Linked DNA regions of Rhinolophus ferrumequinum. The protein of the gene in region 2 binds, or shares a complex with, the protein of the main gene of each other region. Links are inferred from orthologs where the notes say so. Each region holds a gene or a part of one and is shown on either strand. Other genes may lie near its edges.

Evidence for each region.
Region 1: TIMM22 (region 2) and TIMM10B share a complex: the UniProt entries of both Homo sapiens proteins name them as parts of the TIM22 complex. The link is inferred for Rhinolophus ferrumequinum from reciprocal best matches to the Homo sapiens genes TIMM22 and TIMM10B.
Region 3: TIMM22 (region 2) and TIMM29 share a complex: the UniProt entries of both Homo sapiens proteins name them as parts of the TIM22 complex. The link is inferred for Rhinolophus ferrumequinum from reciprocal best matches to the Homo sapiens genes TIMM22 and TIMM29.

Annotation. Positions count from the first base shown.
Region 1 is NC_046294.1:45,327,836-45,330,722, forward strand, and holds TIMM10B (mitochondrial import inner membrane translocase subunit Tim10 B), read right to left. Parts: upstream 1,561-2,887; 5' UTR 1,514-1,560; coding exon 1,475-1,513; intron 1,275-1,474; coding exon 1,179-1,274; intron 994-1,178; coding exon 817-993; 3' UTR 520-816; downstream 1-519. Other genes in the region: ARFIP2 (arfaptin-2), read left to right, coding at 2,619-2,717. UniProt on the Homo sapiens protein: Component of the TIM22 complex, a complex that mediates the import and insertion of multi-pass transmembrane proteins into the mitochondrial inner membrane.
Region 2 is NC_046304.1:17,139,735-17,143,484, reverse strand, and holds the start of TIMM22 (mitochondrial import inner membrane translocase subunit Tim22), read right to left. Parts: upstream 2,448-3,750; 5' UTR 2,176-2,447; coding exon 1,938-2,175; intron 1-1,937. UniProt on the Homo sapiens protein: Essential core component of the TIM22 complex, a complex that mediates the import and insertion of multi-pass transmembrane proteins into the mitochondrial inner membrane. In the TIM22 complex, it constitutes the voltage-activated and signal-gated channel.
Region 3 is NC_046301.1:39,498,010-39,501,545, reverse strand, and holds TIMM29 (mitochondrial import inner membrane translocase subunit Tim29), read left to right. Parts: upstream 1-1,406; 5' UTR 1,407-1,519; coding exon 1,520-1,613; intron 1,614-1,686; coding exon 1,687-2,375; 3' UTR 2,376-3,017; downstream 3,018-3,536. Other genes in the region: protein YIPF2, read right to left, coding at 381-461, 553-698, 1,076-1,106. UniProt on the Homo sapiens protein: Component of the TIM22 complex, a complex that mediates the import and insertion of multi-pass transmembrane proteins into the mitochondrial inner membrane.

The DNA.
Region 1 (2,887 bases), on a different chromosome or scaffold from region 2:
AAAGTAACAACTTGGGGAAATGGCTGAAGTTCCAGAACACCCCTGAATTCTTACAGGTTTCATCTCTGTCCTGGAGCTACTGATTTCCCAGTAGGTAGTGCCTAAAAACCCTGTGATTTCTTGATCTACTGTCCTTAGACATCTCCTCCTTTCCCTAAATCTGGCAGAATTCCTTCCTGTAAAACACAGTCCACAAGAAAATAGCTATAAATGAATGCACACCTGGCTCACAAGTGAGCCATTAAAGTCAGATTTATGTGAAGAAGAGCTAGACAGAGCTCCCATTTTCTCTGTCATCTGGGCAGGAACCAATTTCCCGTTGCTATTACCAACCTTAAAATTGTACCCACAGACCTTGCTTTAACCAGGTGCCTGGGAATGCTAAGGTTTGCGTCCATACAAAGAAGGCACTTTCTCTGCAGACAGGGCTAAAGCCAGCAGATATTCACTAACTGACAGAATAAAAGATGATGCTAATAAAGTAGGCAAAGCTTCCCTGCCCAAAATATAAACCAAACAGAATAAAAGCAGGTTTATTAACTCTTCCTGGAGCCACAGTACCCAGCTCTCAGGCAAGCCCTCACTTTCTATATACAGGCTGGACCCAGCCCAAGCAAGGTCCCTGGAAAGGGGTTCATCTCCTGATGGGGAGAAACACATGGGTGGGGATAAGCTTCAGGAGAACACAGTCTTTGTCTCGTTCACTGCTGTGTTGCATGGCCTCAAATAGTGCATGACACATAGTAGGCACTCAGTCCACTGGCTCCTTCAATTTGAGGGGCCATCCAGTGCCTCCCTTCCTGGGGTTGGGGATGGCTAGCTGCCTGATGGCGAGGTTCCAGGCTGTTCAGGAGCAACACCTGGCACAGCTGAGGCAGCCTCGTAGTCTGCGATGCGGCGCTGTACCAGGGCAGGCATGAGCTGCACATAAGCAGCCATGAGGCGATGGTTGGAATGGATCAGCTTCCCAGCACAGCTATGCAGACAGGCTTCCTGGAAGGAAGACAGGGTGGAAACAGGGGCCAAAGGTGTCCTGTCAGATCCGTTTCCTTCCTTCCCATCTCCAACCTAGGGGCGAGGGACATGGAAAGGCCCTGGCCAAAGGCAGTGGAGGAAGGAAGGAAGCAGATTACGGTTAACTCTGAGGATGAAGAGTAATCCCCTACTCGGTCCCCCACCTCCTCGGCATCCAGGGCTCGGTGGTGCAGGCTGGGTACGCAGCGCTGGAAGCAGAGTTCCGTCATCCGATTGTAGACCAACAGGAAGTCCCGCAACTAGGAGAGAAGGGGACCAAGAACTCAGCTATAAGGGGGCCCACACCTGAATTCAAGGCCGCGCCTTGAAGTTTACCAGGACCGCGCACCACAGCCCGATGTCCCTAGCCCTCGGATCCCTAGCTTTTTGGGGTTCCCGCCATGCAGACGGCGAGGACAGTTGAATGTAGGGCTTTGAAGCCACATGAGCTGCCACTCACGTTTCTCAGCTGCTGCTGCTGCTGCTGCTGCTGCTCCATCCCGCCACAAGCTCACGTCCTGCGTCACTTCCGTTACAGCTTCTCGGTAACGCCCCGGAAGTTATCTGTCGTCCATCCCCAGGGACTGAGGGGTTGACTCAAGGATCGTCCTGCCCCCGGCTGCTAACGTCACCTCCGCCCTTATAATCTGCGACGTGGCTGGCTTCTTCTGCCCGGGAGAGGACGTCACTTCCTCCGAGTCCCTGACCTGCTGCTAGGATCGCGACGGGAGCTGGAGCCCGAGGTCCCCCCGCGGCCCGGGCCTGGCGCCCTGAGGGGAAGAGCGGCCTGTCCTCAGGTGAGAGGGCCATACTTGGGCAAGGGGAAGTTGAATGCATGAACCTGTCTTGAGGGCAAGATACCTCTGAGCCTGGGAAAGGATGAGGACACACCTGATGCCCAGGTGTATTGGGGTGGGGGGTGGGGGAAACACACCTAGGGAAACATAACCGACTTTGGAAGCCATCACCTATGTCCTGGGGAAAAGAGGCTTTCCCAGAGGCTGGGAACATAAACCAACTGAATCAACTAAGGCCTGGTGGGAAGAGCCCGAGGAAGAGAAGGTGCATGGTATGGAGAAGGGGGGAACGGTCTGAAGGAAAGGGGAAGAAACACTAAAGGGGTGTTGAAAGGCTAAGCGATGGAGAACATACTGAGCCTTGGAAAGGGGTTCATCTCCTGATGGGGAGAAACACCTGGGTGGGGGTGAGCTTCAGGAGAACACAGTCTTTGTCTGGTTCACTGCTGTGTTGCACGGCCTCAAATAGTGCATGACACATAGTAGGCACTCATTAAATGTCTGTTGAATGATCGAATGCATGAATAATCATCGGAGTCCTGGTGAAGTTGGAGAGTCATGAGAAGACACCTGAGCATGTGTAAAAATATGCACCTTGGAGGGAAGAGGTACATATACTCGCACTATCTGAGGGAAGGAGTGGTAGCCACACTCCAGAACACTCTACCCCTGGGACAACCTCTAAAACCTCAGAAACGGTAGGGGAGACATTTCTCTTCTGTGGTCCTGGCCAATTTCCAGAACTATCTGTGTTGGGCTTTGCAGGGCGCTGGGGTGGAGACATTGACTCCAGTCCCTTCCCTAGCCATGACGGACGGGATCCTAGGGAAGGCAGCTACAATGGAGATCCCCATCCATGGGAACGGCGAAGCTGGGCAGCTTCCTGAGGATGATGGGCTGGAACAGGTGCATCTGTTTGATTCTTCTCCTTATTGTTCAATTTAGGAATCCCAACTCATAAACCCTGGCCTATTCCAGTAGCCTTTCCTAACTTATCTAACTCCCTTCTTTTTACAAATTTTTGTTCTGATTCTGTGCAGACTTCCTTTGTGTGCTCTCTCTGTGATGCTTCAATC
Region 2 (3,750 bases):
TCTCCTTTCTGTAGCTGAAGAAACTGAGGCTCAGAGAGGTTAAGTAACTTCCCTGAAGTCACAAAGTTACCAAATGGCAAACGCCACACTGCTGTCCACATCGGACCTTCCTGAGCCTGCTGGACATTTCCATATGGATGTCCTCTCATCACCTCCAGGCCAATACAATTGACCCTTGAACAATGCTGGAGTTAGGAGTGCCAAGGCCCCCGTAGTCAAAAATCCACATATAACGTTTGACTCCCCAAAAACTGAGCTGTCCCTCGGGGGGATTGGGTCCAAGACTCCTCATGGATAGTAAAATCCATGGGTGCTCAAGTCCCCTATATAAAATGGTGTAGAGCAATGCATACAGTCAGCTGACCACATCCATGGACTCCCAACCAAGGATCGAAAACAGGACAGATATTGAAAGAAATCCATGTATACACGGATCCATGAAGCTCAAACCCATGTTGTTCAAGGGTAAACGGTATATGTTTGATGAAATCATGGTCACCTCCCTTCCAGACTTTCTTGTTATTGCCCCTTCTTTTTAGTCACTCCAGCTCCAAACCTCAGGGGCGTTTTTTTGTTTGCCCTACAACTCCAAGTCCACAATTATCATCCTAGTCTAGGGTTTTGATCACTTCCAACCTGGAGCACTACAAAGACTCATTTATTTCACCAAATATGTGATTTATCAGGGTCAAACACAATGATGAACAAAGACCCAGTCCATTCCTCATGAGCTTCAGTCTAGCCAATTTCCAATATGGTCTCCCTATCCACAGACTTCTTTCCTTCAGCCCACCCCATCCTGAATCACGATGTTCATTACCAGTTGTTACTCTTCTAAAAAAATCATCAATGACTGTCCTAATGCCTATCGACAAAATGCCCAAATCCCCTACTTTACCCCCAACTTGAAATGACAATTCTCTTCCTCTGTGTCCACCCCATTCTCTCCATCCTTCAACAGTTCCAGTCTCACCTCCTCTTGCGGCCTTCCCCAAACCACAAAAAGTTCTCTCTTTCTTCTTTCTACTATATTTCACATTTCCACTCTCACCACATTCGTTTGTCTTTCATTCTTAATGAGATTTCAACTCATCTGCAAATGTGGTCAACCTCCTTACCCTCCACACAGGAAGGACACCACATTCTCAAATCCTCACAAGGCTAAAGAAAAAGCCAAGTCCATACTTCTTTCCCCCTTGTTCACTACTGTCTAGTCACTCTGGCCACACTGGCCTTTTCTGTTTTTCAAACTAAAGCCGGTTCCTTTGCACTCGTTCCTATGTCTGCTGCACTCTTCTGCCAGGCTCCTCAACATTCTTCGATATACAGAGAATGCCACAAAAAATGCATACACATGTTAAGAAAGGAAAAACTATTAAAATTGTAATACTCAATACATACCGATAACAAAAGATAAATACAAGTCACGTTTAACGTCTGCAATTACAAGCGGTGTTCAAAGTGGTTACCATCAGCGTCCAGACACTTCTGGTTATGGTGAACTACTACTGCTTGAGCAACAGTTGACCAAAGTGTCCCCTTGTATACATTTTTTTGGCACCTCGGATATATAGAGAGGGGTGTTAGCTTCCTGAGAACCAAGCTCTAGTCTCTCACCCTGTCTCTCCACCGCCTGGCACGTGATACCTACCCACTAACAAGTTTTTGAAAGAATGATTATTTGAAAGTGAATGACCGAATGATGAATGAAGTCAACTATTTTATAACCTCCAGGCCCCGACCCATAGCACCGATTCTCTGATCCAGTTTCCAGAGGGTCTAGAGAGGGTTGCTCGAGCTCCCTGAACGAGGCCGGGGTGCAGTCCCCTTCGAGGCCCACAGGCTCCTCGCCTCCCGGGCGCGTGGTCTTCTTGGCAGAGGAACCCGCTGCCATCCACGCCCTCAGCCTCCCAAGGGTCCCCCTCGCCTTGCCTCACCTCCCACGCAGGCCAGCGCTGCCTTGAAGGCGCAGCTTTCCATCGCTCTCTCGATCATCTTCTGCTCCTCACTCTTGGCCGGACTCGGGATCCCGCCCAGGCTTCCGGGCTCCAGGACCCGGGGCTGACGCTTGTCACCCACCAGGTACTGCAGAAGAAGGCTGTACTGCAGCGGGGGTTCGGCGGAGCCGGCCGCCTCGGGCGCGGGGCCCCCGGCACTGGGGGCTGTCGCCGCCATGACTAGCGGCCCAAGAAACCCAGACGTCCTTCCCACAGCAGATTACACAAGCTGCACGTTGGGGCCTTGCGCGCCCAACCACTGTGCCACCACGGTAGATTCGCCACGTCCAGCGAGTCCGAGGAAGCTACGGAAGCAAAGTCCATTCGTGCGCACCTGGCGGAAGAACTATTACGTTTCCCAAAAACCTCGGCGAATACTGAATGCAGCTTGTGCAGCATTCCCAATGGCACTGACAAGCGAGATTCAGATTCACCCGAGCGCCCTCATCTTCCGGGCCGCAGCGCGGTGCCTACCGGGATTTGCAGTTCTGACATGTACACCCGACACATTTCCCAGGAAGCCCTGCGCGGACACTTGCACTTGGACCTTCTCTGGAGCTTCTGACAGGCGGGACCCTAGCGGTTGAGCGCCGGCAAAACTGCAATGCGCCTGGGCGTCGGTAGGGGGCGCACGCGCCTCGCCACTGCCCTTCCAGCGTGTTCCAGCGTGTTATGAGATGTAAGTGATGGAAGGTGCTTTGTAAGTAAATGTGAAAGGGTATGAATGTATGGAGTGTTTCCTCGAACATAAGACGGGGTCTTATATTAATTTTTGCTCCAAAAGATGCATTAGGGCTTATGTTCAGGGGATGTCATCCTGAAAAATCATGCTAGGGCTTCTTTTCTGGTTAGGTCTTATTTTCGGAGAAACACGGTATGTTTTGTTCGATAATTAAACCTTTGATGGAGAAAGAGAGAGAGAGAGGGCAAAAAAAAAAAAATCAATGAACAAATAGTGAAGCTAACCAAGGAAAATCGGGGACAGGCTCTTTCCCGTCTTGCAAGATGGAGGGTGAAAAAGGTGAGAAGCCCGGCATTAAGGAGAAGAAACCTGAAGCCAAGCAGGCTGATGCTGGTGGCAGGGTTAAGAAAAGTAACCCAAGGGCAAAACACCTAAGAAGGGGAAGCCCCACCGCAGCTGAAACCCTGTCCTGGTCGGAGAAGTCGGCAGTTATTCTCCATCGGCTATGTGTTCCCTGAAGGCCATGTACAAGAGGAAGTATTCAGCAGCTAAATCCAAGATTGAACAGAAAAAGAAGGTTCTTGCTACTGGCACAAAACCAGTTGGTGGCAACAAGAATAGTGGCACCCGAGTGATTAAACGTCACAAAATGCCCAGATAGTATCCTATTGAAGATCTGCCTGGAAATCTGTTGAGTCACTGGCAAGAAACCCTTCAGTCAGCATGTGAGAACACTTGGGTCCAGCCTCACTCCCAGGACCATTCTGGTCATCCTCACTGGGCACCACAGAGGCAAGAGGGTGGTTTTCCTGAAGCAGCTGGGCAGTGACTGGACTTCTGTCCCTTCATCGAGTTCCTCTGGGTAGAACACACCAGACATTTGTCATCGCCACCTCCACCAAAATTGATATCAGTGTGGTGTGAAAATCCCCAAATCTCTCACTGATGGTTGTTACTTCAAGAAGAAGAAGCTGCACAAGCCCAGACATGAGGAGGGCGAGATCTTTGACACAGAGAAAGAGAAATATGAGCTGACAGAGCAGCACAAAGTTGATCAGAAAGCCATGGACT
Region 3 (3,536 bases), on a different chromosome or scaffold from region 2:
CTTCTGTCATCTTTTGATCCTCTGTATACGATGTCCCCTGTGCCTGGAACACACTTATGCTTCCTTCCACTCTGCCCTGACACGTCTTCCTTTTTCTTTACGTCTCAGCAAATCCCTCACCTCCTCCAGGAGGCCTTTCTCTAACCTAACATACCAGGCGCATCCCGTGTTTCCAAAAGCCCCCGTCATCACGTCATAATCCTTATAGCGTCATAATCCTCATAGTGCACCTGTTACTTCTGCTAGCCTGGGTGTAAGCTCTTGTTCTCCACATGTGTATCTCCAGCAACTTGCCCAGGTGCACAGGAAGCGCTCAGTAAATAGTAGCTGAACCCTAAGCGTGACTCTGAGCCCCTCCCACCAAGGTTCCCGGGCCTGACCTGCGAGGTATCCACGTCAAAGAAGCTCTGATAGTAGTCAAAGGTCCAGAATCCCGGCTGCTGCTTCTCCTCCTGTAGAAGCTGCACAGTGCGGGCTTTCAGTGACTACCCTTCCAGCCTGGGTCAACGGGGGGCTGGACGGAGGCGGGGCACAGGGACTTATGTGACTCACCGAAGTCTTGTCATTTTCCTCCACCTCATCCTCAGCTCCCAAGCCCACAGCCACAGCCACGTGCCCCTGTGGGGTCAGCTGATCAGTTCTGCTGGTGGTGGCCGCATCTGGGGTCTCGGCCAACAGATTAGTGGCTTCCTCGAACTCTACCGAGAATAAATATGGGACACAGGCATGTGTATGAGGTCAAGACAATTGGGTTTGGTCCACTGCTCATCTGGGGTCCAAGACTAACCACGGTCATCCCAGTGCTCTCCCCAACTCAGGGCCTGGCCAATTTTGGGGAGTAGGAAGGTGTGTTCTCTCACTCCTAACAAGGGACTGCAATTGAGGGCTGGTTCTAGGATGGGGTCAGGTCTGGGGTAGTGGTCTGGGTTTGAGGTCAGAGTTCAGGGCTGGAGTGGGGTTTGAGTTAGGGCTCGGTTTCATGCCTGGAGTCAGGGTTTACAACAGACTGCTGCTCCTGTTAGATATGGGTTGGGACCTGGATAGGAGGTTCTGGCCAGGTCGCAGCCGCACTCACCATGGAAGGCTAGTTCGTCGGCCGCTGCCATGGTCGCTCAGGGGCATCACCGGACCTCGCTCTGAGGACAGAGGCCAATCAGGCCCGCCCGCAATCCCACGCGGCACCCTTCGTGGAGTCAGCCCCCAGCCGGGCCTGGCGGCTAACCGCACTCACCCGGGCGTGAACTCGCCGTCCCTGCCCCACAGGTGCAACACCCCCCTCTTTACCTGAGGCCGTCTCAGCTCGCGTGGCCAGGGGTTTCTGCGCCTGCGCGGCCCGCCTACTGGTCAATCAATCCAGCTCGGCCCAGAGAGCAACATCCGGAGCCTGTCCGTCTTCTATCCTCTTCCGATGGGAAGCCACTTCCGGCAATTTTAGCGCTTGCGCAGATAAGACTGCCCGGACCATTTACTTTAACACCTGGCGTTTCTCTTCGGAGAACGGTCGCTAAGCCGGAAGGGAATGGCGGCGGCCGCTCTGAAGAGACTTTGGTCGCGAAGCCGCGGACAGGTGGAGGACGCGGCGGCCTCTAAGCCAGGCGCGTGGGCGCGGTTGGGTGAGTAGCCGCTAGCAGAGGGAAAGGTAGCCGCAGCGGCTGGACCTCTCTCACCGCGCTTCTCTCCTTTTAGGCGTCTGGGCCCGCGCGCTGCTCCGGGACTACGCCGAGGCCTGCGGGGACGCGGCAGCGGCTGCGCGGGCCCGGCCAGTAAGGGCGGCCGTGTACGTGGGGTTGCTGGGCGGTGCGGCGGCCTGCTGCGCATTGGCGCCCAGCGAGGCATCCTTCGAGGAGGCGCTGCTGGATGCGTCGGGGACCCTTCTGCTCCTGGCGCCGGCCACGCGCAATCGCGACTCAGAAGCGTACGTGCAGCGGCTGCTCTGGCTGCGGGGCCGCGGTTGCCTGCGCCACGTGAACCTGGGCCTCTGTTCGCTGGTGTATGAAGCGCCCTACGACGCCCAGGCCAGTCTCTACCAGGCCCGCTGCCGCTACCTGCAACCCCGCTGGGACGAGTTCCCGGACCGGATCCTGGACGTGGGCTTCGTGGGCCGCTGGTGGGTGCTGGGGGCTCGGATGCGCGACAGCGACATCAACGACGACGAGTTCCTCCACCTGCCGGCACATTTGCGCGTCGTCGGGCCCCATCAGCTGCACTCGGAGGCCAACGAGCGGCTCTTTGACGAGAAATACCTGCCTGTCGTGCTCACCAACGATCAGGTGGACCAGGCGCTGTGGGAGGAGCAGGTGTTGCAGAAGGAGAAGAAGGACAAGCTGGCCCTGAGCCAGGTCGACTTGCTTATGCAGTCGGAGGGCCCAAGATGAAACACAGTGAGGGCAAGGTCCCAACGCAGCTACGAGCCCTGGCAGACTTTTTGCCCGGATTATGCAGTTGGTGTGAGTGAGCCTCAAGTGCAGAGTGACTGAATAACATGCAGAGTGTTCCCCCGCTGGGTTTTCATATAATTAGGGGGTCTTTTTTTCCTTTCACATCGTTCCTTGTTAGCTGAAGCTAATTCAGAGCCTTCTTGGTCTAGGAGTTGGGAGAGCAGAGCGACCATATGTTTATCACTGCCAGAATTTGTAATGAGCCTTACACATAAGTAAGCCTATTTCATTTGGCCTCACAGTCCCCTGGAGGTATAGTATATCTCTCAGGCCTTTCAGATTATTGTTTTAAATTTTTAGCTGTGATGTTTATACTCTCATGTTCATGAGTAACTTTTTTTTTTAATTTAATGTTGAAATAATTATAGTCCCATAGGAAACCGGAAAATAATACGGAGACATCCTGTTTCCCCTTTGCCCAGCTTCCCCCAAATGGTAACATTTTACATAAGCAATACCAAACTAGAGATTGACATTGTAGGACTGTTTGGATTTTACAGGGAAACTTTTTGCAAAAACAAGCTGCTTTTTACCATTTGCGAATTGATAGTGATATTAAAGAAACTTGGAAGGATAAAACGTTTTCTGAACTGGAAGTCTATATGGAATCAGACTCTGCCTTTGTTATACTATAGTAATGTTGAAAACAGAATCCTATGGAAAGGAATATGTTAGTGTGCATAGCTGGTACTTAGCTAGGTTATGGTAATCATACTTTAAAAACTAAATTATTAGAAGAATGAGACTAACGAGGTGGCCTGTGGCTAGTTAATAAAACCAGGAGATGAAACAGCCAGCTTTGTTACCATGTTTGTATTCGTGTGCTTTGCTATTAAGTTTTGGTAGTTGAACCTTCCATTCGTACTATGGGTGCATGCGACACATGGTAATTTTTATCCTTATTTTGGGGGCAGGGGAGTGTTTTCCAAGTCAGCATTTTCATTTTACAAAGGAAAAAGTGAGGTTCAAAAAGTTTGTTATTTTTCCAAGACTGTGGCAGAGCCAAGATTCAAACTGTAACTCCCAACCCTCTCAGTTAATTTTCAAATTCACAGCACCATCCTTGATCCTGATAATATCCTGCCAGAAATTAAGTAC